Anolis sagrei: one gene and its partners. The protein of the gene in region 2 purifies or fractionates together with the protein of the main gene of each other region. This does not show direct contact. Links are inferred from orthologs where the notes say so. Each region holds a gene or a part of one and is shown on either strand. Other genes may lie near its edges.

The links.
Region 1: the proteins of SF3A1 (region 2) and DHX15 purify together in Homo sapiens (co-immunoprecipitation; 5 studies listed by BioGRID and IntAct, with this or other methods). This does not show direct contact. The link is inferred for Anolis sagrei from reciprocal best matches to the Homo sapiens genes SF3A1 and DHX15.
Region 3: the proteins of SF3A1 (region 2) and RBM17 purify together in Homo sapiens (affinity purification with mass spectrometry; 4 studies listed by BioGRID and IntAct, counting the BioPlex papers as one, with this or other methods). This does not show direct contact. The link is inferred for Anolis sagrei from reciprocal best matches to the Homo sapiens genes SF3A1 and RBM17.
Region 4: the proteins of SF3A1 (region 2) and PRPF19 fractionate together in Homo sapiens (co-fractionation; 3 studies listed by BioGRID and IntAct, with this or other methods). This does not show direct contact. The link is inferred for Anolis sagrei from reciprocal best matches to the Homo sapiens genes SF3A1 and PRPF19.

What each region holds. Positions count from the first base shown.
Region 1 is NC_090025.1:112,388,418-112,396,392, reverse strand, and holds the start of DHX15 (ATP-dependent RNA helicase DHX15), read left to right. Parts: upstream 1-4,974; 5' UTR 4,975-5,084; coding exon 5,085-5,155; intron 5,156-7,975.
Region 2 is NC_090034.1:48,544,705-48,552,559, forward strand, and holds the start of SF3A1 (splicing factor 3A subunit 1), read left to right. Parts: upstream 1-4,840; 5' UTR 4,841-4,940; coding exon 4,941-5,003; intron 5,004-7,144; coding exon 7,145-7,257; intron 7,258-7,855. Other genes in the region: CCDC157 (coiled-coil domain-containing protein 157), read right to left, coding at 607-1,231, 1,896-2,070, 2,148-2,365. UniProt on the Homo sapiens protein: Component of the 17S U2 SnRNP complex of the spliceosome, a large ribonucleoprotein complex that removes introns from transcribed pre-mRNAs.
Region 3 is NC_090025.1:190,047,399-190,054,222, forward strand, and holds the start of RBM17 (splicing factor 45), read right to left. Parts: upstream 3,004-6,824; 5' UTR 2,839-3,003; intron 2,526-2,838; 5' UTR 2,508-2,525; coding exon 2,385-2,507; intron 1-2,384. UniProt on the Homo sapiens protein: Splice factor that binds to the single-stranded 3'AG at the exon/intron border and promotes its utilization in the second catalytic step. Involved in the regulation of alternative splicing and the utilization of cryptic splice sites.
Region 4 is NC_090021.1:235,751,251-235,758,902, forward strand, and holds the start of PRPF19 (pre-mRNA-processing factor 19), read right to left. Parts: upstream 3,017-7,652; 5' UTR 2,869-3,016; coding exon 2,850-2,868; intron 1-2,849. UniProt on the Homo sapiens protein: Ubiquitin-protein ligase which is a core component of several complexes mainly involved pre-mRNA splicing and DNA repair. Required for pre-mRNA splicing as component of the spliceosome.

The DNA of each region.
Region 1 (7,975 bases), on a different chromosome or scaffold from region 2:
ATGGTTAAATATTATGGAATCAGGTGAGTTGGAGTTTTACAAAGTCTTCAACTTTCTGTGCCAAATAGTGCTGGTGCCCCATCAAACTATTGTATCTACTTTATCCTATGCTTGGAACTGATGCGATCCTGCTTATCCTTTGCTCTTGCTAGAAAAACATCTTTTTAGTATAGTTCTTCAATGCAATGCTTCCACCACTTTGTTCTTGATCATACCTTGTGTTCCCTTGTTGATCATATAGTATCAATAATCTTGGCCAAAATTTCTCTTCTATTTCTTGGATCTTGTTCCAGAGATTCCCAGGTTTTGTTTTGTTGTCTTGGTCTTTTTATTTGCAATGGTTATTGTAATACAGTTGTCCTCTTTGTCCTTGTTAACAAGCCACTGAACTTTGGAGTTCAAGACACTGTCTATATTTCTTTCACTGTTGCTTCTCCCTTGTCCTTAACTGTTGAAGAACTGAGCATGTCATCTGATGTGACTTTGTTTTCTTTTTGGCTACAGATAGTCTTCTTGCATTCTTCTCCTGCTACTGTCATTATAAGATAAGGTAAAGTTTTTCCCTGACTCTAAGAGTTCAGTCTGACTCTGGGGGGTGGTGCTCATCTCCATTTCTAAGCTGAAGACATGGAGCACCAAATGCATGGAGCACTGTTACCTTCCTGCCAAAGCAGTACCTATTGATCTACTCACATTTGCATGTTTTCGAACTACTAGGTTGGCAGAAGCTGGGGCTAACAATGGGAGCTCACCCTTTCCATGGATTTGAACAACTGGTCAGCAAGTTGTGCAGCTTAGCCATTTAACCTGCTGCATCACTATATATTAATAATGCAATATAATATAATAATTTATATGTATGTGTGTGTATGTATATAGATAACATTATATTATTTTACATAATTAATATATATTTATGTGTGTGTGTATAGATAGATAGATTGCTGTTGGAACCAATTGAAACCAAGTCTCCCACAGCATCACTTGGAAGCCTCTCAATATATATAATATAATAATATATAGAATAACAGCATTGTGATGTAATAATACTATTATATTATATATAATATTAATAATGTTGCAATATTATATACAGTATTATGTATACTATATCTTATGATATAGTGCAATACATTATATAATAAAATAGTATATTATACTGGTAATGCATTATATATATATTGGTAAAATAATATACTATCATATAATAATATATAATAATGTCCTGATGGTGTAGTGGGTTAAAACGCTAAGCTGCTGAACTTGCTGACCAAAAGGTCAGGGGTTTGAATCTGGGAAGCAGGGTGAGCTCCTGCTGTTAGCCCCAGCTTCTGCCAACCTAGTAGTTTCAGCAGGAAGGTAATGGCACTCCATGTAGTCATGCTGGCCTCATGACCTTGGAGGCGTCTACAGACAACACCGGCTCTTCGGCTCAGAAAAGGAGATGAGCACCAACCCCCAGAGTCAGACACAACTGGACTTAATGTCAGGGGAAAAAATATTTACCTAACTAAATAATAATTGTATATTATATATTACATGTAATATTAGTAATAATATTGCAGTATTGTGGTATAGTGCAATATAGTAATATATAATACTAACATTGTGCTATGCTAATAATATATATTGTATATACATACAATATTGACAATATATAATGTGATACAATATAATACTAATATTTATTTGTTGTGTCACAGCAAACAATCCATTATATTACATTTCTAACAGAACAAAGCAAACAAACAGACAAATACAAAACTTGTGAGTTTGGTAGTTGGTTAAATGTCCTTTGACCAGTATCTAGCCACTTGGAGTGCTTCCGGTGTTGCTGCAAGAAGGTCCTCCATTGTGCATGTAGCAGGGCTCAGGTTGCATTGCAGCAGGTGGTCAGTGGTATGCTCCTCTCCACACTCGCATGTCGAGGATTCCACTTTGTACTTTGGGATGTACTTTGGCTCCACTTCTATTTAACTTTTACATCAACTCCATGGTGGAGCACCTTTACAACTTGGACTACCACCCTCCAAAACTGGCAGGAAGACACGTGTCTACCCTGCTTTATGCAGATGATGCAGTGATACTATCCAGAACTCAAGTAGGCCTGAGAAGAGCCCTGAGAGCCTTAACAAAATATTGTAATGAAGAACAGCTTCATCTTAATTATAAAAAAACCCAAAATTATGGTGTTTGCGAAATGACCCAAGCATCATACCTGGAGACTAGATGGACACAATATTGAACAGGTCTCCAGCTTTAAATACCTGGGAGTATTCTATCACCGCACAGGAAACAAGAAAGTACATATGGATTACGTAGCAGAGGCAGCACAAAAGAGCTCATATGCTATCCTAAAGTTCCTCAAAACAGGAGGAGGCCACTACATACCAGCTGCACTTAAGCTCTTTGAGGCAAAATCCATAGCACAAATGATGTATGGAGCCCAACTTGGTCCCTTCACAAACTATGCCCCTCTGGAGCAAGTACAATCAAAATTTCTAAGATCGGCGATGCAGGTCCCCAGATGTGTCTCAAACGCCACCCTGCGATTAGAGACAGGCCTTGTGAGAGTGGAGGCGAGAGTGTGGACAGCCACCCTCAATTATTGGCTGCATCTGTCTTTCTCAACATGTGGCCTTGCCCCATTAACTCTGAGAGATGAATTTCAGTCTACATGGAATAAGGCAGTGGCAACCAAAATCGCAACTCTAGGCTTCTCTCAAGGACAACTGCTAGGTATGGGATGGGACCAAGCCAAGGATCTTATTAGACAACGGATCCTGGATACAGAGCGACAATCAGACTTAGCCTGCTCTCCAGCATTCACCATTAGCGAAGATAGCAGATATCTCATCGCTCCCATGCCTTACTTAGCTAACCTGGAGGTGCCTAAACACCGAAGAGCTTTCACTTTGGCAAGATGCCACGCCCTTCCATCGGCAGTACTGGAGGGGAGGTACCGGAAGACCCCTGCTCAGGAGAGACTATGCCCGTGTGAGTCTGGCTACATCGAAACAACTGAACATGTGCTCCTCCAATGTGTGTTCTATAGAGACATTAGAGCTAATTTCATCACTCCATGGCTTTTAAAACATCCAGGGCGCACTGAAAGATATTACACCTCCCTGCTGCTCTCGGACTCTTGCTCTGCAACAACCTAGAGTGTTGCCAAGTTCTGTGCAGCAGCAATTAACATTAGATGGCTGATGACCGACTCCACCAGGCAACTTCCTGCCGGGAATATAGATAGAATGGTTTGTAATAACTGAAATGCTGTAAATGCTCCCCTCTCATCCCTTTTATAGCTTCCCATATTTGCTATTAGCCGCCCCCTATTTTAGATTCATACATGCACTTTAAACTGTAAGTTTAGTCTGTTTTATCTTTTTAATTTGTCTCTTTTATAACATGTTTTTAATCTGCTTTTAATCTGCTTTTATACTTGATCTACTTGGGAACTGCGATTCCCTCCCTTGGGCACCGATGCCCCATTCTGTACTGTGCTGGTCAAAGACCGTAATAAATCATTGATTGATTGATTGATTCCACTTTGTAGCCCCATTTCTCAAGGTTGGCTCTGCATCTCGTGGTGCCAGAGCGCAGTCTGTTCAGCGCCTTCCAAGTCGCCCAGTCTTCTGAGTGCCCAGGGGGGAGTCTCTCATCTGGTATCACCCATGAATTGAGGTGCTGGGTTTGGGCCTGCCACTTTTGGACTCTCGCTTGCTGGGGTGTTCCAGCGAGTGTCTCTGTAGATCTAAGAAAACTATGTCTTGATTTAAGTCGTTGACGTGCTGGCTGATACCCAAACAGGGGATGAGCAGGAGATGTCTCTGCCTTGGTCCTTTCACTATTGGCTGCTACTTCCCGGCGGATGTCAGGTGGTGCAATACCGGCTAAGCAGTGTAATTTCTCCAGTGGTGTGGGGCGCAGACACCCCGTGATAATGCGGCATGTTTCATTAAGAGCCACATCTACTGTTTTAGTGTGGTGAGATGTGTTCCACACTGGGCATGCATACTCAGCAACAGAGTAGCATAGCGCAAGGGCAGATGTCTTCACTGTGTCTGGTTGTGATCCCCAGGTTGTGCCAGTCAGCTTTCATATGATGTTGTTTCTAGCGCCCACCTTTTGTTTGATGTTCAGGCAGTGCTTCTTGTAGGTCAGAGCACGGTCCAAAGTGACTCCCAGGTATTTGGGTGTGTTGCAATGCTCCAGTGGGATTCCTTCCAAGGTGATCCTCAGAGCTCGGGATGCTTGTCCGTTCTTAAGGTGAAAGGCGCATGTCTGTGTTTTAGATGGATTAGGGATCAGTTGGTTTTCCCTGTAATAGGCAGTAAGAGCACCTAGAGCTTCGGAGAGCTTCTGTTCAACCATCTCGAAGCTCCCTGCTTGAGCAGTAATGGCACGATCATCAGCATAGATTAAACTCTCTGTCCCTTCTGGCAGTGGCTGGTCATTGGTGTAGATGTTGAACATGGATGGAGCAAGCACGCTCCCCTGAGGCAGCCGTTCTTCTGTTTCCGCCATCTGCTTCTCTGGCCCTGGAACTCAACCAAAAAGCTCCTGTTTTGTAGCAGGTTTCCTATGAGGCAGGTGAGGTGGTTATACATTTTTCTCAGGAGGAGGCGGTGGTTCACAGTATCATAGGCCGCTGACAAGTCTATGAAGACAGCTCCATAATACAATCTAACAATATATAAAAAATATTGTGATATAGTAATGCTGATATATTAAATATAATTACCACTGACAATTTACAATAAGACATAATGTCTTATTCTTGCATATTTTAAGTTGTAATGTTTTTGATTGTGAGCCGCTTTGAGTCTCCGTATGGAGAGACAAAGCGGGATATAAAAAAATAAAATAAACCGGAGGAGGAACTATTCTGCAGAGCGGAACGGAAATGCTAGGGAACAGAATTTCCGGCCGGACGTCTTACGCGCTGCACCGCATTCCCTTTCTACGCTGGGAAAGGCTCGCCTCGCGGCCGGCGCTGGCTTGCTTGCTTCCTTCCTGCCGCCATTTTAGCTCCTCGCTCTCTGGCTCGGCGGCGGCCTCCTCGGCTCTCAGCTCCCGCCATGTCCAAGCGGCACCGCCTCGACCTCGGGGACGACTACGGCTCCAACAAGAAGCGGCTCGCCTCCGACGGGTAAGACCCGAGCCGGGGCGAGGGAAGAGAACGGGAGGGGAGGCGCCGCTTCTCTCCCTCCCTCCTCCTCCTCTCTCTTTGGCCTTCGTTGTTTTGTGAATCCACTGAGGGGAGAGGGTGGTGGGAGGCGAATGTTGCTCATCTGGTTTTGGAGAACGCTCAGCGCCATTGGCCCTCCCTTACGCGTTATTTTTAGCCTCCCTTTTAGAGAACGAGGCATTGAGAGGCCTGGAGCCAGGCTTCGCGGCCTCTTTGTTGTAGCCAGGCTGAGGCCTGATCTACACTGAACTGCGGCGGCCAGACAACGAAACTCCCACAAAACCACGCGAAAGGAAGCCCTTAATCACTACCCAGGTCTCAAACTTTGTAATCATTTGGTCAACGAAACCCATTTTCTTCCATACCAGGGTTGTTGAAACTGCATTGAATGGTCAAATGGGGCCTAAGGATCAAGTGTCGTCAAATGGGCTGCTGAAAAAGCGACTACCTTTATAATAATAATAATAACCTTTATTTATACCCCCCCCCCCCGTCCTCAAGGACTTGCGGCAGCTCACAACAGAATCAAGTCACAATACATACATAAGTAGAAACCAAAAAGACAACAAGCATAGAGTTTGAAGAGACCTCATGGGCCATCCAGTCCAACCCCCTGCCAAAAAGCGCCAAAATGCGCCATATACTATTACATGAAACTTTGAGTTGGCATACACTTCTCTATCCCCTTAGCAAGCCATGACACCTTTAAAACCATTTATCAATTTTACATAAAATCTGACAATCAAAGAGCTGGAAGAGACCTCATGGGCTATCCAGTCCAACCCCCTGCCAAAAAGCAGGAATATTGCATTCAAAGCACCCCTGACAGATGGCCATCTAGCCTCTGTTTAAAAGCTTCCAAAGAAGGAGCCTCCACCACACTCCGGGGCAGAGAGTTCCTCTGCTGAACAGCTCTCACAGTCAGGAAGTTCTTCCTCATGTTCAGAAGGAATCTCCTTTCTTGTAGTTTGAAGCCATTGTTCTGCGTCCTAGTCTCCAGGAAAGCAGAAAACAAGTTTGCTCCCTCCTCCCTGTGACTTCCTGTCACATATTTATACATGGGTATCATATCTCCGCTCAGCCTTCTCTTCTTCTGGCTAAACATGCTGAGCTCCTTAAGTTGCTCCTCATAGGGCTTGCTCTCCAGACCCTTGATCATTTTAGTTGCCCTCCTCTGGACACATTCCCGCTTGTCAATATCGCTCTTCAATTGTGGTGCCCAGAATTGGACACAATATTCCAAGTGTGGTCAAACCAAGGCGGAATAGAGGGGTAGCATTCCTTCCCTAGATCTAGACACTACGCTCCTATTGATGCAGGTCAAAATCCCATTGGCTTTTTTTGCCGCCACGTCACATTGTTGGCTCATGTTTAACTTGTTGTCCACGAGAACTCCAATAGCTTTTTCACCCATACTGCTCTCAAGCCAGGCGTCCCCCATTCTGTATCTTTGCAAGACCTTATATATAACCAATAATCATAAAAGAATTTTTTTAAAGTATCACAATAAATAAATAACAGATTAAAAATGGTACTTGGTTTCAAAACATGGAGTCAATAGGCTAAAAAGCTAAAAAACCACCATCAGAATGAAAAGCAACCAACCATTTTCAAAAGCCAGCTTCCGCATTCAAGTTTTTCGCTCTTTCCTAAAGTTAGTTGTCTGATTACTTTCGGGTGAGCATTCCAAACCTGGGGGGCCACCACCAAGAAGGTCCTTTCTCATTCCCATCAGCCATGCTTGTGAGGGTGTTGGGACCATCGCTTCTCGGCCTTTTGGCTAAGATCAAGTGTAGAGAAGCCACCCCCCCCCCCCCAGGACTTTCAGGCCCGAGTTGGTTCATAGGGGAAATGCGGTCCCACAAATAGGCTGGATCTTTCACTCCTGCTTCATGTTGACCATTTGTAAGTGGAAAGCTAAGGAATCAGATAGAAAGTATTGGGGGCCATCTGCACAGGCCTGCAATGCAGTTTATCTGCATTGAACTTCATTATATGATTTTACATTGACCGTATAATAAAGTTTCAAACTGCATTATATAGCATTGGAGATGGGGCCTGTGTTTCATACATGGGAAAAATCAGCTTCATTTGAACCAGATACACATGCTGTCTGTGCTTCATATATCCAATGACAAATGTGCCATATACTATTACATGAAACTTTGAGTTGGCACACACTTCTCTATCCCCTTAGCAAGCCATGACACCTTTCTGAGAGTCTCAGAAAGCTGATTCCTGCAAGCAAAACCTTCTGCAGACCCTTTAAAACCATTTATCAATGTTACATAAAATCTGACAATCATAGAGCTGGAAGAGACCTCATGGGCTATCCAGTCCAACCCCCTGCCAAGAAGCAGGAAAATCACATTCAAAGCACCCCAACAGATGGCCATCCAGCCTCTGCTTAAAGGTCTCCTAAGAAGGAGCCTCCACCACATTCAGAGGCAGAGAGTTCCACTGCTGAACAGCGCTCACAGTCAGGAAGTTCTTCCTAATGTTCAGGTGGAATCTCCTTTCCTGTAATTTGAAGCCATTGTTCTGCGTCCTATTCTCTAGGGCAGCAAAAAATAATAATAATCATCACCATCACCTTTATTTTTAACATTCACAAAATATCAAAACATATAATATAAAACACATAATATAAGACAAAATTGCGTAGATTAAAATACATATAAAATATAAATCTCCATAATTTAGAATTATCTGTTATCAGCATCGCCACAAGGTAAAATCAATGATAGTCTACTTTCATTCCTTGCTCCCTCTTCCTTACGA
Region 2 (7,855 bases):
AAGCCCTGGAATATATTGGAGATGGGACCTGAGAGCAGGAGATATGGGATAAATCTTGGAGATGGGACCTAAGGATGGAGGGCAAGAGATTAGGGATATAGCTTGGAGATAGGACCCAAGATGAACAGCAGGAGATATAATAACAACAACAACAACAATAAATCTTGATTAATATCCTGCTTTTCTCCCACAAAGGGACCCAAAACGGCTTCCAACATGTTAAAAATACAACACAAAATCAACAATGATCAAAGACACAGATATAAAACAAAATAAGCAATCAGTAAAACAAATAAGCATTTAAAAACAATATACATATGGGATATATCTTGGAGATGAGACCTAAGATGAAGAGCAGGAGATATGGGATATATCTTTCTAAGTTTGTTATTTTGAGTTGTTCTATAAGTACACCTGATGTTGTTTATTTTATTGCTTATGATTTGATCTGTTACATCAGTATTGAAAGTTTGCCAATTTTCTGTTGTAAACAGCCCTGAGTCCCCTCAGGGAGATAGGGCAGTATAGAAATAAAGTTTATTATCATTATTCTCTTGGAGATAGGACCCAAGGATGGTGATCACACAATCCTTGGTGTCTACTCACTGTTCTGGAGATCTTCCTTTTCCTTCTCCAACCGTCCCACTCGTCGTAAGCTCTCCTTGTGCTTCTTCTCGAATGACTGCTCAGCCTCCTTCCTCTGTTGCTCTTGGGCTTCCTTCTCCTCCTGAAGGCGGACCTCCAAGTCCTCCACCTGCTTCTGGGCAGCTTCCAGCTCTCCCTTCAAAGGGCCCACCAACTCTGTCAGTGTCCGGAGGTGCTTGCCAATCCGGGAAATGTCCTTGCTCTGCTCGGCGGCCCAATAGTCAATGTCCACAACGGACAGGGCTCTGCCCCCAAGGGTCTCCTCTGCGGTCTTGAGGAACTTGCCCAGAGATGATGGGAGGTTTTGGCCTTCGCAGAGGCCGACAATGGCACGGCCCACTTCCTGGAGGCTGGTCTGGGCCTTCTCGCAGGCTTCACAAGGCACTACGGGCGGCTCAGTAGTTAGAGAAGGGATACAGTTGGGGAAGTGTCCATACATTTGCCCACTGGCAATTGACGAGGTCAATGAAGAATCCTGCATGCCCAGTATGGTAACATCTGACTCCGATTGTTGGGAGCAAGAGCTTCTGGTCCGTTTGCTCTCTGCTTGTTCTCTGCTAGAAACATCCTCTTTGTTGCCTTTTTTCTTGGTTAAGAGATAAAAGCAAGATATAAATAAGTAGGAGGAAGAGAAGGAGAGGAGGGGGGAGAGAAATAAAAGAAGGAGGAGGAGGAGATTGAAGAGAGGAGGAGGACAAGAAGAAAAGGAGAAGCAAACGAAGGGAAAGGAGAAGGGAAAAGAACGAAAGTAAGTAGAAGGAGGACAAGATGGTGGAGGAGGAGGAGTAGAAAGAACAGGAGAAGGAGACAAAAAAGGAAGAGAAGGAGGAGAGGGAAGAGGAGGAGGAAAAAGAAGAAGAAGGAGAAGGAGGACAAGGTGGTGGAGGAGGAGGAGTAGAAAGAAAAGGAGAAGGAGACAAAAAAGGAAGAGAAGGAGGAGAGGGAAGAGGAGGAGGAAAAAGAAGAAGAAGGAGAAGGAGGACAAGGTGGAGAAGGAGTAGATGGAAAAGGAAGAGAGGGAAGAGGAGATAGAGGAAAAAGAAGAAGGAAAAGGAGTAGAAGGAGGACTAGGTGGAGAAGAGGAGTAGACAGAAAAGGAAGTGAAGAAGGAGAGGGAAGAGGAGATGGAGGGGGAAAAGCAGGAGGAGGAAAGGGAGAGAGAAAAGGAAAGGGAGGAAGAGAAGGAAAAGATGAAGAGGGAGAAGAGGTATAATTGGCTTCTGAGGTCTGTATGCAAAGCATGTCCCTACCTCCATCACCAGCTGCTGGTAGAGATTCCCCAGTTTCACCATGCTGTCCCAGTATGTCCTCACCGCCAATCCAACAGACATGGAAGGCCCCATTGCTCCGGATGGGGAGGAAGGAGCTCCTTCGCTGATCAGGTTCTCCGCATATTCCGTGAAGCTTTGGAAGAGCAGCAGCAGCCTCAAGGGAGCAGAAAACAAATCCTAGTTATCCTCCTTGGCTTCCAGGTGAGTTCTATCCTTCGGACTGTTCCTCACCTGTCAATGATGAGCTCCAAAAGGAGGACATGGGAGCGCTGGGTGAGTTCAGGATTGTTCTCCGCAAAGCCGTAACGCTCCAGCAAGGAAACCAGGTCCAAGTCGCAGGAGGCCTTATCCGGAAACTTCCACGAAGGACACCGGATGGGTCTGGATCGGGAGAAGACATCAATGACTGTTCCCTGAAGCTCAACGATGTCCCTCTGCAGGCTCTCCATGTTCTTTCAATTGACCAGGAAGGCCACCATCACAAACAATGAGGCATTGATGTTCCTGGAGCAAAAGAAAAGCTTCAAAATGAATTATTATTATTATTATTATTATTATTATCCTATATTTCTCTTTTGATCAAGGCACTAAAGTGACCACCATTATTGTTGTTGTTGTTATTAACTAATACCTTAATTTCTCTCTTCTAATCTTTGGATTGACTCAAAGCAAACACAATAATAATAATTATATTTATATTTATATTTATATTTTATCATGTCATCCGCTACCAGAACATTGTATTACATTCCTAACAGAACAAAACAAACAAACAGATAAAAAAAAACCCCACAAATTTTGCAAACTTGGCAGCTGATTAAATGTCCTTTGACCAGTATCTGGCCACCTGGAGTGCCTGTGGTGTTGCTGCAAGAAGTAACCAATCTTATACACCAATCTTCTCTCTCAATTGAGTCCCAAAGCAGCTAGTCATCATGTTGTCGAAGAGTTTAATGGTCGGAATCACTGGGTTGCTGTGAGCTTTCTGGGCTGTCTGGCCATGTTCCAGAAGCATTATCTCCTGACGTTTTACACCCACATCAATGGCAGGTATAATTAGAGGTTGTGAGGTCTGTTGGAAACTAGGCAAGTGGGGTTTATAGATATACCTGTGGAATAATGTCCAGGGTGGGAGAAAGAACTTTTGTCTGTTTGAGGTAAGTGTAAATGTTGCCATTGGCCAGCTTGATTAGCATTGAATAGCCTTGGAGCTTCAAAGCCTGGCTGCTTCCTGCTTGGGGAATCCTTTTTTGGGAGGTGTTAGCTGGCCCTGATTGATTCCTGTTTGGAATTCCCTAATTTTCTGACGGTTGTTCTTTATTTGTTGTTATGATTTTAGAGTTTTTTTAATACTGGTAGCCAGATTTTGTTCATTTTCATAGTTTCCTCCTTTCTTTTGAAATTGTCCACGTGCTTGCAGATTTCAATGGCTTCTCTATGTAATCTGTCATGGTGGTTGTCTGAGTGGCCCAGCATTGCTGTGTTCTCAAATAATATGCTGTGTCCAGATTGGTTCATCAGGTGCTCTGCTATGGCTGACTTCTCTAGTTGGATTAGTTTGCAGTACCTTTCATCTTCCTTGATTCGTGTCTGGGCAATGCTGTATTTGGTGACCCCTATGTAGACTTGTCCACAGCTGATTGGTATACGGTAGACTCTGGCAGAGGTGAGAGGATCCTTCTTGTTCTTTGCTGAACCTAGCATTTGTTGGATTTTCTTAGTGGGTCTGTAGATTGTTTGTAGATTGTGTTTCTTCATCGGGGCCAGCTAACACCTCCCAACAAAGAATTCCCTCAGGCAGGAAACAGCCAGGCTTTGAAGCTGCAAAGCCATTCAATGCTAATCAAGCTGGCCAATGGCGACATTCACACGTGCTGACAGACAAGAGTTATTTCTCTCACCCCGGACATAATTCCACAGGTATATATATAAACCCTGACAACCTCTGAGCATGCCTGCCATAGATGTGGGCAAAATGTCAGGAGAGAATGCTTCTGGCACATGGCCAGACAGCTCGGAAAACTTACAGCAACCCAGTGATTCCAGCCACAAAAGCCTTCAAACAACACAATAATACAATACTATAATATATAATAGGAATATTGTAATATAGTAATACTAATATATTAACTATAATTGCTACTGATAATATATAATTATAAGATACACTGATTTATTGTATTTTTGTATATTTTAAGTTTTATGTTTTTGAATCTCCATATGGAGAGATATAGAGGGATATAAATCAATAAAATATATAATAACACATTACATTATAAAATATATAATAGAGATATAATTAATCATCATCATCATGTTAACATTCCTGTTTTGTCCAATAGAATAATAACAGTGGGTATTCTGGACTCAGACCCAGCTGCTTTGTCCAATGAAGAGGCCTTCTGAGGGAAGAAGTCCAAAAAGCCTGGAGCCCAAGATTGGGAAAACACAACTCTAGGACTATGTATAGAAATAATATATTCAAGAAATGCTTCGTATTCATGTTTCATCCTTAATTGGCTGAATGGCTCATTTAGAAAACGGCACGCCGTTAACTGTGTGTAGTTACCTACGGAATGCCCGCCTCTTACTGCTAGCAGGCTTCTTCTCGCGTTCTAGGCCTCGGCTGCTGCCATGGCAACGAAGAACGCTTCCCTCGCTCCGCCCCTTTTATTATAGAGAGCATAACATACAATTGATAAAAACTTCCGGAAAGGGGAGTGCATGTACCTAAAGGGGGCGTGGCTATGGTTACCAGGAGGAGGGGGCGTTGAAAGGGGCGTGACTTCCCCGTGCAGCTGGGATTGCAAGGGGAAGGGGAGCGCATGCGCTTAAAGGGGGCGTGACTACGGGTTTCCAGGAGGAGGACGTTTAAAGGGGCGTGGCTATCCCCGCACAGCCCCCTCCTCTTGTGGGCGGGGCTGTTACTGGCTGCGCGCGCACCCGTCGCCATTTTTCTCGGTCCTATCGCAGCTGTTGGCGTCTTTCTTCTCCGCGGTTGTACTCCGGAGCGAAGTGAGAGTCATGCCGGCGGGGCCCGTCCAGGTGATGGCTCCGGCCCAAGCCACGCCGCCCGAGGCCAAACAGGTATTTCTTGCTCGGGAAGAAAACGACTCTTTTCCCCCTTTAACCCACCTCAAGGCAGAGCCGCCATTCCCATGATGCATTGCGGGGCGAGGGGGGCTTTTCCCAGGGCGCTTTGCGCGAGGGACTTGAGGGCCCCCGTGGGATCATATACACACCTGTATTATATATTATACTAGCTTGAAAGGGGCATTGTTTGTCTTTGGATGTTCGGTGGGGTTCAAAGAGATCTCTGAATATGGGTGAACTACAACTCCCAGATTTCAAGGTTAATCACTCCAGAGTCCACCAGTGTACAAAGTTGGCCACGTTGGATCTGTATGCCGAGCCTGGTCCAGATCCGTACTCGGCTGGGTGCAGTGCTCTCTGGATAAAGGTGAACTACAACTCCAAAATATCCAGGTCAAATCCCCCAAAATTATTATTATTAAGTTATTATTAAACTTTATTTGTACCCCGCTAGCATCTCCCGCAGGACTCGATGCGGCTTACAAAGGCCAAGGCCTCAACACAACAAGAACAAAACAATAACAATACCATTTAGAGTAAATTAAAACATAAGCAATAACAAGACAATACATCAATTACAGAATAAAAAACCAGGGCCAGGCCAGTGATGGGTACAGGTTAAAAAGTGCTGGGTGTGGCAGGTGGTATGTTGGATTTCCGGGCAAGTGCAATGCACAGAGAGCCTTAAACTCGAATAAAGTGCTTCTGGGACATAGTGCTGGAGATTATCCTATTCCAGAAAGGCACATCGGAATAGCCAGGTCTTCAGATTCTTCCTGAAGACTGCCAACATGGGTGCTAGTCTAATATCTTTGGGGAGGGTGTTCCAGAGTTGGGGGCAACCACAGAGAAGGCCCTGTCCCTCGTCTCCAGCAAACACGCCTGTGACACAGGTGGGATCGTAAGCAGGGCCTCTCCGGATGAACAAAGGGATCACGTGGGTTCATACACGGAGATGCGGTCACGCAGGTAGGCAGGTCCCAAACCGTTTAGGGCTTTGTAGGTAAGCACCTGCACCTTGAATTGGGTTTGCTAGGTAAACGGCAGCCCAATAGAGCTCCTTAAACAGGAGGGTTGATCTCTCTCTGTAAGGAGCGCCAGTTAACATCCTGGCCGCCGCCCGTTGAACCAGTTGGAATTTCCGAGCCATTTTCAAGGGCAGCTCCACGTAGAGCGCATTACAGTAACTTCTCCAGAAGTACACTGGCAGCAACAACGTGTGTCAACCAGTGTAACAGCAAGGCAAAACATTCACATGGAACAATCAGAAAGAAAGATCAGCGTTTAAATGGCAGAAGTACAAAGATGTGGCAAGGAAGCACCAAGCGAAGAGCCAGAAGCCTCCTTTTCTTCTTCCTACTTCCCTCATTCCAGCCCCCCTCCCTCTCTCCATGAAGCCAAACAAACCAGGAATAAAAACCACACAAAACCAACTAACCACAAATTCCTCAAAGTGGACATGAGCACAAGGCATGAAGGCTGCTCTCTTGAAGCCCTGGCACTTGTTCTTAACTGGAAACATTGCTTGTGTGTCAAAGCAAAACCAGGGCCGAGCAACAATTCTTAATTCTAAATGCTCCTAAATACTCCTAAGTTGGGGCACTCTTAAGTAGAGATTCCACTGTATATATTTTTGGCTGGAGTTAAAAATGTGTGTGTTCTGACTTACAAACAAATTCAGCTTCAGAACAAACATACGGAACTGTTTTGTGTGTAACTTGGCGGCTGCCTGTTATAGCATTGTTGATGTTCACAATGTGGATGGTATTGATATAACTTATTATTGTCATTATTATTATCTAGTTCAGGAAATGCAGGTTCTTGTCCACTGGAGGGCCATGTCCTTGGCTGTTTGTTATCATTGTGATTAATCTTGCTGTTATTAATTCTTCACATTGCTGGAACTGGAGGCTGCTTCACCCGCAGTTAAATGTGTTTAGAATAACAGAAGAAGATACACAGGCTTAGAGACAAATCCTTAAAAAGAGTCTTGGCCTGGGATTGAGGAAAATGCATGTGCCCACTCACCCACCCCCTGCCATGAATTTCATGGATGGCTAGAAGTTATTATGTTGTTGATGATTATGATGATTCAGTTCTGTCCCACCATTTTGTTATGTTAATTCTCATTGCAGCCAGAAGATGAGCCAAAAGAGGAGGCAGTGCCCGCCAAGCCGGTGGTGGGCATCATCTACCCTCCGCCAGAGGTCAGGAACATTGTGGACAAGACAGCCAGCTTTGTGGCCAGGTGAGTGTTAGTCTTCTGTTTCATAGGAATCAATAAAGAGGACAGTTGTGGCTATGTCTGGCTATATGAAATTATATATATATGATATTAAAATATTCTATTTAAATGCACCATATTTAAATATATGACCTATAAGTGACAAGTATGTAGGTATGAAGGGGCAGTTTTAATCTCAGTGGGGAGGGAGTTCCAAAGTTTTATACAAATAAATAGAAAATATTTTATATTGTATGTTTTGATGCTATTGCAAACCGCCTTGAGTCCGTTGGAGAAAGACAATCTGGAAATTTCCTAAATAATAAGTTAATAAATGTTATTTAAATACAATAACAATAAATGACACATTTCTAGTATATATAGAGTTTAAGTACGTGTTTTTATAGTCATTTATGTAATTTTTTATTTTCAATGTTGTGCTTACAGGAGAAGTGGTATGAAGGGAGTGGTCTCAAATGTTGTGTATATTTTTGAAAACCAAGTGAAAACATTAATAGAAAAATAGATATATTGGGAGAAAAATTAAGTGAATAATAATAATCATAATAATGGGTGGGGAAAAGGGGGTTACTTGCTCTGCATTTGGGTGAGATGTCTGACT
Region 3 (6,824 bases), on a different chromosome or scaffold from region 2:
ACAGACCTCTGAACAAACCTCTGAGGATGCCTGCCATAGATGCAGGCAAAACGTCAGGAGAGAATGCTTCTGGAACACGACCATAGAGCCCAGAAAACACAAAACAAGCCAGTGATTCCAGCCATGAAAGCCTTCGACAAGACATTAAACATTCCATTTCACTGATGAAAACTGAATTTGAGCTAATAATTCTCCAAGCCTGGTCAGTTGTAAGGCAGATTGGGGTATGGGGTGGCAACCTGTGCTGGATGGGGTCACACTCCCCCTGAAAACACAGGTCTTAAGTCTGGGGGCTCTCCTGGACTCATTGCTAAGCCTGGAGGCCCAGGTATTGGCTGTGGCCAGGAGGGTCTTTGCACAATTAAAACTTGTGCGACAGCTGCAAATGTATCCTGAGAAACTGGACTTGGCTATGGTGGTCCGCATCTTAGTTACATCCCATTTAGACTATGTGGGGCTGCCCTTGAAAAGTTCCCAGAAACTCCAACTAGTTCAGAGACCTGCAGTCAGGTTGACAGGTGCTGGACCCAGGGAGCATACCACCACCATTACAGCACCTACACTGGCTGCCAATAAGTTTCCGAGCCCGATTCAAGGTGCTGGTTTTGACCTTTAAAGCCCTAAATGTTTGAGGCCCAACTTACCCCACCACCAGCTCAATAGACATCTTGAGCAATGATCAATCTATTTGCCCCCATGGAACTGGGAAATTGATGCTTCTGTTTGATGTTTTGTCTAATGTCCGATCTAATAGGTTGTGTTTTTATTTAATTTTAATTATTAAGGCATAATTTGTTTTTATATGTTGAGTTGCCAAATTTTGTTATCATGGGTGTGTTGTTGTTGTGTTCGGGCACTGAATGTTTACCTTTTATGTTTCGAATCTGCCCTGAGTCCATCTGGGAAGCATTATGTCCTCAAAATGCACTTTACTACTGCTTTAGGATTGATTGCGTTCCCGCATTCTCTCTGAAAATCCTATCCCAATTATATCCTACCTTGTTCACATCAGCATTATTTTTTAATTTTAATCTATCACATTTGGCCCGGCCTTTGGTTTTAAATGCTTATATGTTACTGTTGATTGCTTATTGTCTATTTTGTTTATGTGTATTGATTGTTTATTGATGTTTTATTTTTTGATGTATTGCGGGCTTGGTCTCATGTAAGCCGCACCGAGTCCCTTGGGGAGATGGGAGCGGGGTACAAATAAAGTGTTATTATTATTATTAAGACAGGGTGAAATATAAATAGTTTTTATATTTTATTATTATTACCTATCTGACCGCATCACCTCTTACCAACCTGCCTGACCATTAAGACAGTGGTTCTCAACCTGTGGGTACCCAGATGTTTTTGGCCCACAACTCCCAGAAATCCCAGCCAGTTTACCAGCTGTTAGGATTTCTGGGAGTTGAAGGTCAAAAACATCTGGGGACCCCAGGTTGAGAACCACAGCATTAAGATCTTCCAGAGAGATCCTTCTCTCATTACCGCCCTCACAAATATGGTTGGTGGCAACGAGAGAGAGCCTTCTTAGTAGCCGCCCTGGCTCTTTGGAACTCCCTCCCCCTTGAGATTAAAACTACCTCCTCCCTGTCATCTTTCAAGAACCATTTGAAGACCTACCTGTTCAAGCAGGTTTTTGATGAATGAATTCAATTGTTAATGATAGCAAGGTTAATTTGCACTGAGCTGAGCAAAATATACCTTTTAATTGATGAGTCTCCGCAATAATTGTAATCTGTAACCCGCCTTGAGTCGCCGTATGGTTGAGAAAGGCAGGCTACAAATGTCGTAAATAAATAAATAAATGGTATAAAATGTTTTTAATGCTTAGTATTTATTTCTGTCTTATTTCTGGACATTATTATGCTTTGTGTGGTTTTTGTCTTGTATTTTATGTTAAATGTGATTTGATTTGTATTATGTTGTGAGCTGCTTTGGGTCCCGTTAGAGATAAAAGTGGGATATAAATAAAGATTATTATTACTGCTTGGGAAGAAACCCCCACTGGAGCACTGCAGCACACCAAAATACCTGGGAGTTATCCTGGACTATGTTCTGACCTAGAAAGAGCACTGCTTGAATATCAACGTAGAAGGAGATACGTTCGGACATGTACGCTGGGCCGGAGCCGTAAAGCGTTTTGTAGGTCAAAACCAGTTTTAAATAAATAAATAGATGCAGGCGAAATGTCAGGAGAAAATGCTTCTAGAACATGGCCATATAGCCCGAGAAACCTACAACACCCCAATTTTGTTGATACTGACTGAACAAAATATTAATAATAATAACTGCTACATTAACATTGTGCTTAGTTAAAGGCAGCTACCTCAGCAATCAGTGACAGGTGTCGCTTCTACCAGACTTTTTATCCTTACCTTTGCTTGGGTGAGTGCCGCCTTCTTCACTTGCAGCTGAGACTGCAGGAGTTTGAAGTTTTTGGACCAGCCTTCTGTCTTGGAATCGCTGGTCTCCACTCCCAAGTCATCGTAGAGCGACATTTTGGTTCTGCTTCAGAGCTAGGAAGGGAAAAGGCAAGGGAGAATAATCACAGCATCACTTAAAATAGGCCTGGGCCAACTTGGGCCCTCCAGGTGTTTTGGACTTCAACTCCCACAATTCCTAACAGCCGGCAGGCTGTTAGGAATTGTGGGAGTTGAAGTCCAAAACACCTGGAGGGCCCAAGTTGGCCCAGGCCTTGAGGCTTTATGGCTGTAATAAGGCCCTAGCTTCCTCCCTGGCAAGTACCCCTTATCCAGAACTCCAAAATACTCCAAAATAATATTATCCCATGTATACAATGAAATCTAATGGCCTCCAGTTTTTTCTTACCCTTCCGCACACAAGGCCTCAAAGCCGGGGCCTCGAGTAAGGCCCGAAGCCGAAGGAAACGCCTCCTCTGTGGGGGTAGGAGAAGCTCCCGCGTCACGGAGGGAAAGAACCAATCAGCGTCCTTCCCCGAGAGCGCCTTGGCGTGCCTCTGAGCGTCTCAACGGCGGGACGCAGCGGCTGCGTAAACTTCGTAGCGCAGGAGGCGGAGCTGGGCTACAGGCTTCACACGCTGAAGGTAAGACCTACGCCAGTTCCGTAAACTGGCAAAAAGGCTAAGTTAGTGTTTACTCTAACTACGCAGCAAAGGGAATAGGGGAAGATTCTCCACTGACACCTAAAGGCGCATAGCTGCAACTGCAACTCAGGAAATACTTTGATATTGTACTCCATTTATATGTAGTCCTAATATAGTATTCTTTATTACTATGTATATTGTTTATATTAGATCTGATATAGTAGCTTCCATTACTATGTATATTTATATTAGATCTAATATAGTAGTTCCCATTACTATGTTTCTTGTTTATATTAGAATATAGTAGTTGCCATTACTATGTATATATTACATCTAATATAGTATTTCCTATTACTATGTAATTATTTATATTAGATCTAATGTAGTGATTCCCAATATTGTGCATATTATTTATTTTAGATCTAATATAGTAGTTCCCATTACTATGTATGTTTATATTACATCTAATATACTACTTCCTATTACTATATTATTTATATTAGATCTAATATAGTGATTCCTACTATTATGCATATTATTTATTTTAGATCTAATATAGTAGTTCCTATTACTAAGCATGTTGTTTATATTATGAGATCTAATATAGTGGTTCCAATTACTATGTATATTATTTCTATTAGATCTAATATAATAGTTCCCATTACTATGTATCTTGTTTATATTAGAACTAATATAATAGTTCCCATTACTATGTATGTTTATATTACATCTAATATAGTACTTCCTATTACTATGTATATTATTTATATTAGATCTACTGTAGTGATTCCCACTATTATGCATATTATTTACTATAGATCTAATATAGTAGTTCCCATTATTATGTATCTTGTTTATATTAGATTTAATATAGTAGTTCCTATTACTAAGCATGTTGTTTATAAGATCTAGTATAGTGGTTCCAATTACTATGTATATTTTTCTATTAGATCTAATGTAGTGATTTCCTCTATTATGTATATAATCAATTTATTTTAGATCTAGTGTAGTGGCTCCAACTATTATGCATATTATTTATATTAGGTGTAATATAGTGGTTCCAAATGGTACATATATTGGTTATATTAGCCCTAATACTGTATATATCTGGTTCACTGCCATGATTTGATGATGGATAACATCTTGAAAGTTATAAGTATCTGAGCTTCTTGCTGTTTCAAGCTTTCAATACTACAGTTAGCCATCTAGTTGCTAGGGTTAGGGGATCAAAACCCTAAAAGTGAAAAAAAGCTATAAATAAATAGAAAAGTGTTATTTTTTATTTGAGAGAACATCTAGGGATTTTGGAGCTCTGCAGTTAGCTTTCACTTGCACTGAAAGACAGAGATTTCTAGACCTTATTAACAAAATCTGCAAGTGTGAAGGACTACCTGTGTAGATATAGATCTATTTCTGAGCATGGCTCTTTAAAAGTCTCATAAGATTATCCTAAATTGAAGCTGGCTTGATGTCAAACTTGATACTATAGATATGTATAAAATCTAATTTAGATTGTTTCTGAATTGTGTGACAAACTGTTAATAATGGTTCAAATGGACTAAGTATTTTAAAAAATTAATCTATGCTGCTGACAAAAAAATAGATCTACACATTAATAAGTTAATATTAGAGCACTAGGTTCATCGTCCTCATTTAGGATTATTTTAAATATTATTCATAATTTTCATTTTAATATCCTTCGTTGTCATAATTTTCTGTGTGTACTACAAATGTTAATGTGGGTCATTTTAATACATGATTTTATAATTTCAAGGTTTCCTATTTGTCTTTCTGTACCATGTTGTAGATTGTAAGTGGAGTTACAAATATATAAAATAATGCAAATTTGTCACTACATTGTTCTCTTTGTTCATTTAAAGAAGGTAGATTTCCAATGGGGCACTATTTTTTTTCTGAAAAGGGAGTAACAAGCCAGATAAGTTTGAAAATCTCTGATTTAAGGTATTGTCAAAGGCTGATTTAAGCTCTGATATATTTAGTCGCATGGGCGGGGGGAGGTTGTTTAAGGGCAATTAATGCATCTGTAGAACCAATGCAGTGTGAGATAAAGACCAAGGGGAAAGGAACAGACCCAGACTTATTCATAGTTAGTCATATCTACTGAAAGCTTTGAGGAATGTTAGTTGCAACCAAACTAAATCCTACTGGTCCCAGTTGTTATATTTTAAGAAGGACTTTGTTGTTGTTTATTCATTCAGTCGCCTCCGACTCTTCGTGACCTCATGGACCAGCCCACACCAAAGCTCCCCCTTGGTCAGTTCCTTCAAGGTCAAGCCAGTCACTTCAAGGATATCATTACAGTTACAGGGAGTGGTCAACCCCCGTTTAAACAGCTCCATTTGCTGCCAATAAGTTTCCGGTCCCATTATAAAGTTCTAAATGGTTCAGGGCCTGCCTATCTTCATGATCGCATCTTCCCCTATGAACCAGCACATACCCCAAGATCATTTGGGGAGGCTCTTCTCTCGCTTCCACCTCTGTAGCAAACACGGTTGGTGGGGACGAGGGAAAGGGTCTTCTCTGTGGTGCCCCCTGGGCTCCTGAAGGAGATCAGATAGCGGCCAGTCCAGCGGAGTTGTTGGTGGAGGACCATCGCTTCCGTGCTGGTGGTCTTTGCTACTTTCAGCATGCTGACATTTGTCCTCCTGTCTTCCCAAGAGATTTGCTGGATTTTTTGGAGGCAGTACTGATGGAATTGTTCTAGTTGCATGTGACGTCTGTAGACAGTCCACGTCTCACAGGTGTATAGCAGGGTTGGGAGGACAATAGCTTTATAAACAAGCACCTTGGTATCCCTACAGATGTCCCAGTCCTCAAACATTCTCTGCTTGATTTGGAAAAATGCTGCACTCGCAGAGCTCAGGCGGTGTTGTATATCAGTGTCAATGTTGACTTTTGTGGAGAGGTGGCTGCCAAGGTAGCGGAAATTGTCAACATTTTCTAATAATAATAGCTTTTAGGAATCCTGAGCCTGAACTCACTATTGTTGTCAGCCACAATATTGGTTTATGATGTTTATCTGATTATATTATTTCATTGTTTTTAGACATTGACTGTATTTTTGTGTTCGTTTTTAATCTGTATTTGCTGGCCATGTCGCTTGTAAGCCACCCCGAGTCCCTTCGGGGAGATGGAGGCGGGGTATAAAAATAAAATTATTATCCATCCATCTTGCCTCTGGTCGGCCCCTCTTCATTTTTCCTTCCATTTTCCCCAGCATCATGATCTCTTCCAAAAATATTCCATCTACTCATGATGTCGCCAAAGTACTTCTAGGAGTTGCATGTGACGTCTGTAGATAGTCCACGTCTTGCAGGTGTATAGCAGGGTTGGGAGGACAATAGCTTTATAAACAAGCACCTATGGATGCCCCGGTCCTCAAACACTCTCTGCTTGATTTGGAAAAATGCTGCACTCGCAGAGCTCAAAGTACTTCATCTTTGCCTCTAATATCCTTCCCTCCAGTGAGCAGTCAGGCATTATTTCCTGGAGTATGGACTGGTTTGATCTTCTTGTGGTCCAAGGCACTGTCGGAATTTTCCTCCAACACCACAGTTCAAAAGTGTCTATCTTCCTTCGCTCAGCTTTCCTTATGGTCCAAGCTCTTACATCCATAGGTTGCTACGGGGAATACCATTGCTTTAAGAAGCAATAAAGAGGACTAAATAATTCAGAAGGACCAAATCTCCTCAAACCCACGAAGTCCTAGTTTGCTGAACAAGGATTTAAC
Region 4 (7,652 bases), on a different chromosome or scaffold from region 2:
CAGGTAATATTGCCACACATCCCTGAATAGCTATTTGAGGTTCATTTGAAGGCAATGGTCCTTCCTCATATATTGGAGCTTTTTGATGAACAACAGATATTTAATAAGGGCATATGAAAACAACAATGTATGGAACTACACTACAAAGTCCCTTTCAAGTATTCATTCAACACTCTAAAACAGCAATGCACTGATCTGCCCATTTGGGGTAAGTCATCAATCTCTATCTGTAAGAAATCATGCCAGCACAGCTGTTCAGACAATGTTGCTTTATAACATATACACACACATAAGTCTAAAAACTTTACTTAAAAAGATGAATCCCCCCAAAACTGAGTTGACATACATATAAGTCAACATAAACACTGTACCTTAAATGCAATTTAAAAGGGGGGGAGCATCCTTTTCTCTCAGTAGTGGCAAAAGGTAAGAATGTAGTCTGTCCCGGGATAACCTAAAAGAAGTGCCAAACCCTTTCTACTCTCTCTTTGTCTGAAAGAATAAACCTTGCCCAAAGTCATCTAGTTAGGTTCCATCGCCCAGCAGGAATTTGAACCCTGGTCCTAGTCTAACACTCAAACCACTACTACACCATGCTAGTTATTAATTAGTTAATAGTTGAAAATACATAAAGAACTATATTTACACACACACATTTTAATATTTTAATGGGAATTATTGTAGTAACATGAATCTTGTTGTTTCTTTAATTTTATGTTTATACTTTTTATTTATGGGTTAGAACTGTTTTATTGGTATGATTTTATATTTATTGTTAACCACCTTATGTCCTTATATTGGTAGAAAGGTAGGAAAAAATAAAATAAACAGATGAAAAAAATCCTCTTCAAATGAACCTTTGACAAAGAAAGCTATCTTGTCCCATGGCATCTCTATGTCTGAAAATCAGAGAAAAATGTGGATTTTTAATGAAGTGAAAGGTAAGAAGGACAATGCTTGCAAGATGACAATCAGCAAGCTATTTAAGCATCAACCAGACAATTAAGACCAATACCAAGGATATTCTTGTTTATAACAATGGAAGGGAATCTTATGGGCTACCCAGTTCCTCACTAAATTCACTCATGTAGGAATTCTAGAGCTAAAGCATCCTCAAAAATAGCTCTCCAGTTCGGTGAGGACTGCCAGCAAAAAAGAGTCCCTCATCTTACTGATTTTGTTTCACTAATAAGATGATATCATTCAGCATAAGTATTTTTTTATCTACTGTGGTTGCAGGCTACAAGAACTAGAAAAAACATGCTAGGACTGTATGGCTCCTTGCTGCCTGGCACAACTAATAGTATCACCCCAGAAATCTAGGAAATCATTCTCATTATCAAACTGCTCTTATCAGTGAGAAGTTTCCCCAAGAGTCAAGTTTGAAAACTTCCCTCCTGCAACTTATGTGGACTAGATTGTCCTGTCCTGGAGGGACCAGAAAACAAGTATCCATCCTCTCTTTTGTAACAGCTCCATAGCTTCAACAGGACTAGTAAACTATTTAGGCTTAAAACCTAGATCATTATGGCTAAAGTTTTGTTATTGTGTGTCTTCAAGTCATTTTCTGTGACTGTGGGCCTTCCACGCAGCCAAATAAACTAGAATAACAAGGCGGAATACCCTACAATATTTGTTTTGAATTGAGTGATCTGAGTCCACACTGCTATATATCCCAGTTCAAAGCAGCTGTGTGGAAGAGGCCCGTATCACAAAGGTCAGTCGGCTGAAAGTGTGTGCTTGGCTCAGGATAACCCAGTGGGTTTTCATGGATTCGAACCCTGGTCTCCAGAGTCATAGTCCAAGTTTATGTGTGTGCATGTGTATATATACACAGAGAGATACGTATGTAGACACAGCAGGACCTCAGAAAAACCATGTGCAGGATTATAAAAGAACCCAATACTAGTCAGAGAAATCCCAAAGAAACTTTGACTGCATCTAGACCAGTGTTTCCCAAACTTTTGGTCCTCCAGGTTTTTTGGACTTCAACTCTCAGAAATCCCAGCCAGTTTACTGGCTTTTAGGAATTGTGGGAGCTAAAGTCCAAAACACCTGGAGGACTAAAGACTGGCAAACACTGGTCTAAACCGAAGAAGTAATGCAGTCTGACCCCACTTTACCTGCAATGGCTCAATGCTATGGAATCACGGGAGTTGTAGTTTTACAAGGCCTTTGCCCTTCTCTGCCAAAGTGATGCTGCCTCACCAAACTACAACTCCCAGGATTCCTTGGCACTGAACCATAGCAGTTAAAGCAGTCTCAAAATACATTAATTCTACAATGTAGATGAGAATAGGAGAAGCATTGCAAATAGAAGCCCAATATAGAAATCCCTAATTCAAATTTCATGTTTACCACAAATGCACGTGGAGACCTGAGAAAAGCTGCTCTTTTTAACAAAACCCCCTCGGAAATACAGGGCTTAAAACAGAGCAATGCCCATTAAGGGCTATGGAGTGGAAAGAGCAGAAAACCCGACGCAAGTATAAGCCTTTCATTGCCCCAAATCAACAATTCGAGTTGCCTTGATCCCTTTTCGACCAATGTACGGAGCCCTTCATCCATTCAGGCGGGAATTCCAGAGCAAACCTCCCATTTGCTGCAGCAAAGCAGCCGAAGTGCCTGGGAGCTCGGCCTCCATAGAAACGGACACAAAGAACGAGGCAAACCGCGTAACCTTTTCACAAGTCTCTATGGAAATGCACCCCAAGTGCGCCCGCTTTGCCTTCCCATCACTCTTCTTAAACCAGAATAGCCCTGCCTGGCACTCTTTTCTCGGCCGACTTTATGAAGGGGAGACAAGACACAGAGTGGGGCCGAAAGGGGAATGAAAGCGGTTCACTCACTGGAGCATATGAGGGACATGGCGAGCGCCTCCTCGACATGGGCCTTACGGCTGCTTCCGGGCCACTAGAGCGAAGGGGAAGGTTCTGCTTCCGGTCGCCTTTCAACTCGAGCTGCAGCGCGCGCGGGAGAAGGTTGCCCCGGCCGGAAATGGACCCCTCCGACTTTCCTCGTCACGTGCGCTGCCAAAGCCGCAAGGCCTAACGGTCCCACGCGAGTACTTCCGGTTTGGGCTGAGCGTTCCGTCAACTACAGCTCCCAGCATGCACCGCGGACACAGAGCGCCTCTTAGAGGGGAGCCGCACGACCGAATTGTAGCGCTTGACACGGGTTTGACTGAAATTGCTCAATCCCGTAGAATTCTGGGATTTGAAGTTTGTTGTGGCAAAGAAGCTCTCTGGCAGAGAAGAGTGGATTTCTCACAAAAAGACAAAGCCCAGATACCTATAGCTTTTAGCCAAGGCAGTTATTATCATTATCCTGCAGAGAGCCAAATAATACACCAGAGGGAGCAACCTCTTTGAAGTTAAGCAGGGACAGCCCTGGTTAGTGCTTGGATGGGAGACCGCCGAGGAATACCAGGCACCGTAGGTTATATCTCAGAGGAAAGAACTGGCCAAACCAAGAAGAAACCTGCGAAATCTATGAGGTGGTTTGAAGGCGCGTACATGCATGGATTTAAACATTAGGCCTATGTCTTCAGTTGCCTCTTGAATCTTCCTTCCCCCTTTTTACAGAGGCATTAAGGAAACAAAGGAAGAAGGGTAGAATTTTAGTTGAAATTGTGTTTGGATAATAAGGATCCCATCCAGATGTAGAAGGTAGAAAGAGCTTGTTTGCCCTAACTCGAGGTCTAAAATTACAGCTTCTCAGCATTCTAGACTACAAAACATGAAATTTCTACATGCAGCTGCACTCTATAATTCACAGTTGTGATCTGAGGAGTCCATACTTCAGGAAATAAAGCCCAACTGCTCATTGGAGGGAAGGATAGTAGAGGCAAAGATGAAGTACTTTGGCCACATCATGAGAAGAAAGGAAAGCATACAGAAGACGATGCTGGGGAAAATGGAAAGAAAAAGGAAGAGGGGCTGACCAAGGGCAAGATGGATGGATGGGATCCTTGAAGTGACTGGATTGACCTTGAAGGAGCTGAGGGTGGTGACGGCCGACAGGGAGCTCTGGCGTGGGCTGTTCCATGAGGTCACGAAGAGTCAGAAACGACAACGAATGAACAACAACAATCAGGAGAGGTCTGCATGGGGAATTGGCTGCTGTCAAGTTGAGTTCGACTTATGGTGGCCCTATGTATATGGCATTACTAGAGCTTAAAGAGTAGGCAAAGCATCTGAAATCTTGTGCTGCCTCCTGCAGAATTCCAGGCGTTATTTATTTATTTGTCCCATTTATACACCTTCTCAACCCCATAGGGGACTCAAGGAGGCTTACATACACAGGGAGTTGTAGTTCAGTGAGACCCAGGACCTCTCTGGCTGAGCATTTAAAGGCCCCCTCCCCTAAACTACAAGCCCAGCAACCAACTAATGTCACCCTTCTTAAATGAACTGGGGGTCCCAAGTACACTTACCATTTAATGCAGTGTCAAACTGGTATTGAAGAAAATGCTTGCAATAATCAGAAATGAAGTCCCCACCCCCAAGTGCACTGTAATTTGAATAAATCTGCAATGATAAACCAAAGGTCAAGTCTCAAAAATATGTCAGACAATTCAGGAAGCAAAATTGGATCATTGAATGGATTGAGATTAATATGGGAATTAGATTTAGGGTTTAAATAGAGGAGAAAATGGAACTCAGTTTGGAAAATCCAATCTTATATATCAATTTCAGCACAACTGAAAGAAAATACTCTGAAAATTATGCATAGATGGTACCATTATCCACTCAAACTACATAAAATCAATAGAATCTTTACTTGGAGAGTAATATGGGATCAGAGAATAATATTGGATCCCATACTGGAGAGTAATATGGGATCCCATACTGGAGAGTAATATGGGATTGGAGCCACATGTGGCTAATGTGCATAAAGTATGGAGATTCTGGGAGGAAGTGCTATCATGCATAAGCCAAGTAGTGGGGAAACTTCACTTCAGGGGAGCTCTATAAATGATTTCTGGGTATTGTTTCATTATGCACGCGGGGGCCAGCAGGGGGCACTAGAGAGAGAAGGATAGTCCATTTGGGGGGAGGAGTGGGGAAAGAGAGAGGGGGAATAACCAGCAAAATGGGGGAAGTGGTTTTCCTCCTTCAACTCCCCCCTCCCCATAAAATAGACTATCCTTCTCTCTCTACTGCCCCCTGGTGGCCTTTGTCTGGATAATGGAACAGTACCGATTTGGGTATTCAAAAGTGAGAATAAGGTTCTGTGGTAAATAATAAAAAAATACTACTCCTGTTATGTGTCACAAGACTCAAAATTGTGAAAACCTGGAAAAAAGTTAGAGGATCTGACAATAAAGAGCTGGTTAAACGGGATGTGGGTGATAACTCTATAAGAAAAGTTAATTTATAAATTAAGATATATAAATTAAGATTAGCAAAAAAGTGAATTGAAAGAAAATCTATTTGATAAAACCTGGAAACCATTTATTAGTTTCATGTGTAAAAGCAATGGCGAATTTAAACCACCAAACGTCCAAGAAGGATTGTGGATGAGTAATTTATGAATACATTACAATAAAAAAGCAAAAAGATTTTTAAAAGAAGAAAAAACAAACAAACTGGTTTTGCTGTGCAGACGATTACATAGGAAGTCCTGTAACCAATTTTGAGCCCGGATGGTGATGACACAAACCACAGAGCACTTATACATAGAGACAATCTCTTAAGATTATATGGATCAGAGTTTCCTCAAAATTCATCAAATGCACAACGTAGTGGAGGGAAAGGATTAGAGCAGATTTTTTTAAAAAAAAATAAATTAAATAAATCTGACTCTATAAGAAATGATTAAAGGTGGACTGCTGGGTGTAAGGTGACTGGGATTTAGTTTGTAATGTATTTTAATGTTTTTATATTTGATGACACAAAGGGTTTAATCGTGTTTTTATATACTTATATTTTAATTCATTTACATTTATTTAACTTGCATTGTACCCTATTTATCATTATATATCAGGAGAAAGGCAGGATAAAAAACAAAATAAGTAAATAAAACAAATGCACAGTGTTTACATTTTTATATTTGCTTTCCACTCCCTTCTTGCAATTTCTTTCTTGCAAATTTTTTCTTGCAAAGTGTTGGTTGCTGTGAATTTTCTGAGCTGTATGACCATGTTCCAGAAGCATGGTCTGACATTTCGCTCATATCTATGGCAGGCATCAGAGGTTGCGAGGTCTGTTGGAAACTAGGCAAGTGGGATTTATAGATCTATGGAATGTACAGGGTAGGAGAAAAAACTCTTGTCTGTTTGAGGCAAGTGTGAATGTTGCAACTGGCCAGTTTCATTAGCATTGAATAGCCTTCCAGCTTCAAAGCCTGGCTGCTTCCTGCCTGGAGGAATCCACTCAGGCATGGGCAAACTTCAACCCTCCAGGTGTTTTGGACTTCAACTCCCACAGCTGGTTCAACTCCCCCCCCCCCCCCCGGCTGTTAGGGATTGTAGGAATTGAAGTCCAAAACACCTGGAGGGCAGAAGTTTGCCCTTGCCTGTGTTAGCTGCCACAGATGTGGGCAAAACACTAAAAAAACCAGGGGATATTATTTATTTATTATTTGTGATATTTGTATACCGCCCTTCACAATCCCGAAGGGGATTCAGGGCGGTTGTGTGTTGGCAACAATTCAATGCCATCGATAAAAACAGTATAAAACATTAAAACTGGCCCTCCTCTAATAAAAAAATAAACATTATTAAACACAATACATAAAACAGCATTACCTATCACACAGAGACATAGCTGGAAATCCAGACAGGAAACAATTGGGGCCAGCTAACATCTCCCAACAAAGGATTCCCCCAGGCAGGAAATAGCTAGGCTTTGAAGCTGCAAGACTATTGCAACATTCACACTTGTCTCAAGCGGACAAGAGTTCTTTCTCCCACCCTGGACATTCCACAGATATATAAACTCCACTTGCCTAGTTTCCAACAGACCTCACAACCTCTGAGGATGCTTGCCATAGATGTGGGTGAAATGTCAGGTGAGAATGCTTCTGGAACATGGCCATACAGCCCGGAAAACCCACGGCAACTCAGTGATTATGGCCATGAAAGCCTTTGACAACACAAAAAAGCAAAACTTGGGGAATTGAGAGGAAGAACTGAGACTGCATCTAGTGCAATCAAACCCTACTTTGTCCTCCGGATCCCCTGTCCTGATACATTACATTGATCTCTCACCCAGAGTTTTAAAATTTTTTTATCTTTTGCAATTGGCCCTGCCCACTGTGATCAATTTTCTATGTTCGAATGTTCTGATTTTATATTGTCTGATGTGTTTATTTATATTGGTTCTTGTACTTCATTTTTTCTTTTTCTTTATTTTTTGCTGTGTTACTGTGTTATATTGTTTCACTGTATTGCTGGGCTTGGCCTCATGTAAGCCGCCCTGAGTCCCCTTGGGGAGATGGTGGCGTGGTATAAAGATTTATTGTAATTATTATTATTATTATTATTATTATTATTATTATTACACTAGCCATCCCCTGCCATGCATTGCTGAGGCCCAGTCTGTGTATATGTGGTTTTGTGTGTGCATTATATTTTTATTTTTTTGGCATTTTAAGTCTCTTCCACTGTGTTTCCAGTGTCTTTATGAGTGTTGGTCACTCGTTGGCCT